2 linked regions of the Saccharomyces cerevisiae S288C genome follow. Changing the gene in region 1 together with any one later gene gives a genetic interaction. Each region holds a gene or a part of one and is shown on either strand. Other genes may lie near its edges.

Region 1 (3,095 bases):
GGCCCTTTTTGTCTTGCAACAAGACGTCTGTCCTGTTACCGGCCAGCTCCAGTTCTCTCTTCAACTGTTGTATTTTCTCCTGGCTAACATTCTTCCTTGGACGGCCCATTATTATTTACGTGTATTGTTGGTAGTTAGCCCGAAGATTATGAGTACGTGAAATACACTTGTCTTTATGAAAGAGTGGAAAAATGGTGGGGAGTAAGTTATACTATTGACGTGTAAAAAAAAAAAAAAAAAAATGTTAATGGAACGACCGATCTAAAGAACCATATATAATGAATGACTAAAAAAAGCAAAATAGTTAAGAATCCAAGAAAGATACTAAGAAAAGGCGAAAAGAAAAAGAAAAAGTATGTCCGCTAACAAAGATTAGCGTATAAGCACCACACGATGCGATTCAGGTCTCAACGTGCAGTGTGCAGGAGCAGGAACTATTCAATGTATTGTTGTTCCAGGGTTTTTGTTCGCAACCCACGTCTTGACCGACGGTACCCGCAGGTGAAAATTTTAGCAAAGTTACACTTTTTTTTTCATTTTTTTTTTTCTTTTCTCCTCCATCTAATTTCACCTGCGGTTACCGGCGGAATAACTCGCGCACCATTTCTCTGTCTCGGGCCTCGCGTTCCTCTTTTTCGACTCGAGCGGCCTCTTCACGCTGCTCGTACTTCGCGACGCTGCGCCGGCGCTGCGAGCGTTTCTGTTGACGGTGCCACTGTAGAAGCGCCTCCTCTCTGGACGGCATCGTGTCGTACGACGCCGCAAGTTCGCGCGCGAGCTTAAGCCGGGCAAGCTTTCGATTTTGCTCACGTGACCGCGTTTCTTGGCACTCGACAACGATCCCAGTGGGTTCATGCCGTAGTTGTACCTTAGAATTACACTTATTAATCTTTTGGCCACCGGGCCCTCTGCCGCCATGAAGGAATTTCTCAGTGCATTGTGCTTCCATCTCTGGCGTGAACTTTGGTCGCGGTGGTAGCTTGTTCTTTTTAATCAGCAGCACTGCGGCACTGCTGATTGACCTCTTACTCGCTCCCCTCATCATAGTTTACTAGTCTCGGATTCTTCTGCGCTTTTTCCAGGGTCGCATAGCTTGTAGGTTGGTAGCATAGACTTATATATAAACTCATATCCGTTCTAGGAACGTATAGCGCGCTATGGTAGTCCGGGGAAAATGCACAGTTTAGTTAAGTGTATAGTAATTTTATCGATAAAGGAAGAATGGAAGAGGTTTATGTATACATGTAAACTCTGAACATCTAATAGACTAATGATGCGGTTAATACGTACATTGCCGCTTCGATGCTTCAAAACTAGAATACGGCGGCAAGGCTCGTTGTTGTGTTTGCGGTGCTTTAGTTCGTATTCAAAACCACTTTTGCAGAAATCAATGTCATTGAAAAATATCCAGTTATCAGACCTATCCTCATCGCCATTATCCAAGAACAAGGAGAAGCAGGAGAAGCCAGAGAAGGAAAACGAAGGAAAGCACTCCATTGGCCTGTTAGACAGATTTTCAGAGGACTTTATTACTCAGGGCAATGGATTGAAACCTACTACTTCACAAAATCAATTGGATACTATAAAGTTTTATCAAATGCTTCGTGAAAGAGGCAATTTTTCCGATGAACAATGTAAAATTATCATAGCTCTATTGTTGCAACTACTAAATGATCAGTTTTATTCCTGTTACAATGATTTGTTCTTAAGGGATATGGAGCTGAATAAACAATCACATTTGTTCAGCTCGCTAGAAACAGAATTGAAATTCGCAATTCAAAACTCTAGAGACACGCAACTAAATGAGCACCACTTGCAATTATTAAAACTCAAGAGAGAACTTAACTCAATCCATGATGAACTGAATGAAATCATAATAGATCTTTTGCAAAAGGACGCTAAATTAGAATTTAACAATCAAAAATTAGAAAACACCCTTTTGTATCGACAATTAAACCTGAAATTGAACGACTGTTCTAACAAGATTCAAACCAAGATACTGGGGGATATCAGGTCACATATCGAAAATTTAAGATGGCAGACAACCAGAAGCGGTCTTTTGGTAATATTAGTCCTTGTTTGTTCGATTATGATCGGTGTAAGCGCATCTAAGAAGGAACGCCCAGGTTTACAGGAACCTGAGGAACCTGAAATTTTAGCACCAAAGGAAGACATTGATACTACCTTCCCTCAAGATCAACATGATATAGATTAATTAGCATACATATTGTCTGTACATAAGTATATTGTGTGTGCGTTTTGTTTCACTGAGAAAGCGGACGTCATAAACGATGCTTCCTTTGTTTCGAGCCCAGCTGCCTAAATCTTTTTAAGGGCTCTCCATCTACCCAATACTTGAGAGATTCATTTACTTCCACTGAGTTAGCCTTATTGAATGCATCGATGTGGTTCGATTTCAGCAATTTTTTCATCCCTAAGCAACTGGGCAGGTATAGCCCTTTCACTTTCTCCCTCAATTCTTCTAAGACCTTTGCATTGAACGCTTCAGCGTTTGAAGATGGCATGTTAAAATTCTTGCTTATAAATCCGTTCTCGCACATTATATCGTACTTGAATGGTTTGTTGAACATGAGGCATTCATACGTCGTATTTGTGCCAAACTTCAATGGCAAAGAGACCGTTGTACCACCTTCGGTAATTAGTCCTAAGTTAGCAAAGGGGTATAGCAAATAAACCTTGTCATTTATACTGTACACAATGTCACATAACGCTACCAGTGCCGCGCTCAACCCTATTGCTGGTCCATTCAAACAGCAAATTAAAACTTTGGAATGCTTGATGAAGGCATCAGTGACATAAACATTTCTAGCGACAAAATTTGACACCCACTTGCTTGTTTCCGAAGGATATTTATTGGTATCATCCCCTTGGGCTTTTGCAATACCCTTGAAATCAGCACCACTGGAAAAAAATCTACCACTGCTTTGTATAATTGTAAAATATACATCACGATTTCTGTCCGCTAGTTCTAGTAACTCTCCTAAATAAATATAGTCTTCACCTTCTAGTGCATTCAAATTGTCAGGGTTCATTAAGTGAATAATGAAGAATGGTCCTTCAATACGATAACTGAT
Region 2 (3,758 bases), on another chromosome or scaffold:
GAAGCTTGGCAGGGAAGGCAAGAGGCTGGCATTAAGTGAGCCCTCTAAATACGTGTTAAAACCACAGCGGGAAGGTGGCGGAAACAATGTTTATAAAGAAAATATTCCTAATTTTTTGAAAGGTATCGAAGAACGTCACTGGGATGCATATATTCTCATGGAGTTGATTGAACCAGAGTTGAATGAAAATAATATTATATTACGTGATAACAAATCTTACAACGAACCAATCATCAGTGAACTAGGAATTTATGGTTGCGTTCTATTTAACGACGAGCAAGTTTTATCGAACGAATTTAGTGGCTCATTACTAAGATCCAAATTTAATACTTCAAATGAAGGTGGAGTGGCGGCAGGATTCGGATGTTTGGACAGTATTATTCTTTACTAGGTGTACATGTACTATACACATAGATGCTAGGAAGATGATGCTAGAACTTGATTAACAATTAGTTAAGGAATATATAATCACACTTCTACATAAATTTGCTGTTTTAGGCTCATTCCTTCTTTCTTTCACCCTTTAGTAGCGAAGTACACCATTTAGCTGCACCAACAGTGTTGCTAGATATGGTGACTATTGTGAAGAAGGGTATTAACTCTAGTAGACCGGCAGACATACCGAAACATATGAAACTTGCGTAATGCTCGTACTGAAAATCTTTGGCCTGTTTCTTACTGAATCCCTTTAGTAAAAAGTACCTCTGCAAATAGGTAAAGGTTCTTTTTGGGGCCATTAGTTGATTTGCCAAGATTGGTCCTACAATAGGAATTAGCGACAGTAATGTTAGTGAAGTAAAATTGGAGACTTTAAAAAACATTCTGAATAGTAATCTGGGAATCTTAAAAATCCGACTTCCCTTTATTGTGTTGAAATTTCTCACCGCATCAGGTTCATCGATTTTTCTATGTGGCTTTTGTGGTTTAGGCAATACCTTCACCTCGTTTAGAAATTCATCTTGGTCTTGCAACACCAAAGATATATCAAATATCTGATTCGTAATATGGGTCAGGACCAGTGTTCTACAAACAAAGGCAGTCAAGACATTCGTTTGTAAAATCCATTGAATATGAACCAGTATCACACCAAGAGGCCCTAATAACAGTATGGCCCATGTCACTAAAAGCGGTACAAGTGTGACATAAAAGAGACCAGCAATAGTGACAAAAATCAGGGCATAGCAAACCGCAAACAGTAAAATATGCTTCCAATAAACAGGATTCGTCAGCACTTCATAAAACCCCTACGGTTAACAAATAAAAATTAAATATGTTAGTCATAAAACAAGTCATATCAATGCAAACAAAAATCATGTACTTACTAAGAATGGGTAGATAAATGCTCTTGAGTTGAAAATTTCTTTAATGAAGTTTTTTCTAAGCAGTTCGTATCTCACTTTCATTGTTGGTATCGTTTCAGGAAACCAAATATCAAACTGTCTTATGAAAATCTTTAGCCAACGACTTACGTTACTTTCCTTTGAAGAACTGTGTTCTTTGAATTGTCTTTTTAAACGTTGTGGCCCCTTTTCTGCAAGGGTCATAGAATTAGCATATGTGGCGTGAGAAGCCTGGCTGTGACTTATAAGCTCAATTCCGGCTTTCATCCTTAGTTTGTCTTTACAGCCAACCAGGGGTCCTCAGGGATATACCTTGCCCTTTTTTTCCTTTTTTTGACGTCCCTTCACCTTTCTTGAAAGTGATTTACTTTATTTAGGTTTTGAAGTTCCGAGTGTAACCACCCTGATTTTCATAAGTCCCCTGATTTCCCAAATTTTTTATGCATATACAAATGTTGAAAAGAAACGAATATTATTAGCAAGTAATATATAGTATATAGTATATATATATATTTATATATGTAAACATATAATGAATATATAAATTGGTATGTAAAAGAGTTGCGAGCTTCATGGCGGATTAATGTGAGCTATAGATTGTTGGATTGGAGGTGCATAGGATCCTACAGTAGGCTCTTCTGGTTCCGCAGGAGGGGAAGGAGGTACGGCTGGCTGGTCCCGGTCTTTTATCTCTTTAACTATCCAAAGCGAAGCACCTACTGCGTTTGTTCCAATGAACAACCCACCCAGAATGGGAATAGACTCTAATAAACCGCTGGATATCGAGTAAAGGAGCCACTTGGCAAAGCCCTTGTAGTAAACTTTGGAAAGTTTGCGCGAATCCAAATGTAGCACGTCAACAAAATAAGGCTCAAAATAGTAAAATCCCATTCCGGGGCTAAATGGTAGCATATTGATTGTAATTGGACCCACTATTGGAACGAGCAACAATAAAAGAAACATAAAGGCTATGAAGATGTACCAGAAGAAAAAAATGAAAAACTGCGGCAAAGAGACGAGGTAAAACCGTTTCGAAAAGAGGCCACCCAAACGATGTGACCTTCTGTAGACAAAGGGCGTGAAACTTATCGTTTCACAGGCTTCACTCAACTCTGTTAATCCCTTTCTTGCGAACGTCACTCCATAAATACGTGTGAAAAGAACGAAATCGGTACCCTTCACCATAGAATTACATAGCGTTGTGGAAATCAGAATAGTTTGCATATAAGCCAGAGGTAACGCAAAGAGTCCGAGAAAGGGCAAATAGATGCACACTAACAAGGACCACGCAAGGATTGACGTAAACGCAACAATAAGCAGGAGATTCAGCAGGTAGTATCCAAATATTAGGAAAAATAGATGCAAATAATCCGAGTTTCCCACGGATTCGCTAATTCCCTTCAAAGGCGGTTAGTATGACGGCTTAAAAAACATGATCTGCTTATTGGAACATCAACATACTTTATACGGATACCAGATGATCTGGTGCGACGACTCTAGGTCTTTCCAAAAATTGTCTTTAACAAGCATAGCATTCTTGTACCATCGAACTATCGGAGCCTTGTATGCCATCCAAATTTTTGATTTCTTATGGTTCCCTTGGTCTTGGATGGGGAGTAATTGTGGTTCCTCCCCTTCTGCCAGTGGCGTAGAGGCATATGGATGTCTATGGTAATACCAATCAGGTTGGGGTCTAGTCGACATGTTTGCTTGGTGTCTTAGCAGCTCTTATAGTTCTAATGCTATAACTAAGAAAGTAATAATAATAATAATAAAAAGCTTTATATAATGTTTTATTATGGAAGTTTCGTTTTTGTGGCGCGACGCGATCAGCCAAAATCAGCGGAAAAATTCGTCGGAACATTTTTTTCTTTTTTGGCCAAGCTATTGTTACAGGTGGGGCAGGGGCAAGAGACGATATGTCATCGCGAAGCTGTAAAGACACTTGTCGAAGTGATAAAGCGCAAGAGCTGTTTGTCTACGGAACCAGCAAGTACTATCTAATAGCGTGTTCCAGAGAATAACAGCATTTTTCAACTTCTTTCTCCTGGTGTGAGTAATCAGTACGTGAAAAGAGAACGAAGTTAAAAAAAAAAACAAGAAAAAGAAACAAGATCAAAAGAAACGATAAAGGCTGGCTTATAAAATAATAGCATCGCGAACGATCAATAAGGGGCCCTGTTTATTTTTAACAAAGTTTACATATTTCGTTTTCCTCTTTAAGCTGACATCACGTCTATACCCTGTTTTATTCCTTGTTAGAAACATAACGGAGCAGGTAGTAACAACAACAGTATAAACTATCATAAACTTTTTTCCTTCCTTATTGGTGACTTTTAACACTTAGAATTCTAAGTCTGGCAAGAACAGTAATCATACTTCTTTGCAGGGCGTTTTATTGTTACTCCTCTGCCCTGC

What was found. A genetic interaction does not mean that the proteins touch.
Region 2: mutations in RSO55 (region 1) and RRT8 together harm fitness more than expected from each alone (negative genetic interaction), as found in Saccharomyces cerevisiae (one large-scale study listed by BioGRID).

What each region holds. Positions count from the first base shown.
Region 1 is NC_001144.5:703,916-707,010, forward strand, and holds RSO55 (Rso55p), read right to left. Parts: upstream 1,046-3,095; coding exon 578-1,045; downstream 1-577. Other genes in the region: YLR278C (uncharacterized protein), read right to left, coding at 1-109; PUT7 (Put7p), read left to right, coding at 1,271-2,215; ECI1 (dodecenoyl-CoA isomerase), read right to left, coding at 2,283-3,095.
Region 2 is NC_001147.6:239,704-243,461, forward strand, and holds RRT8 (Rrt8p), read right to left. Parts: upstream 1,608-3,758; coding exon 1,323-1,607; intron 1,245-1,322; coding exon 501-1,244; downstream 1-500. Other genes in the region: GSH2 (glutathione synthase), read left to right, coding at 1-391; LDS2 (Lds2p), read right to left, coding at 1,911-2,738, 2,802-3,044. UniProt on the Saccharomyces cerevisiae protein: Involved in spore wall assembly. May be involved in the modulation of rDNA transcription.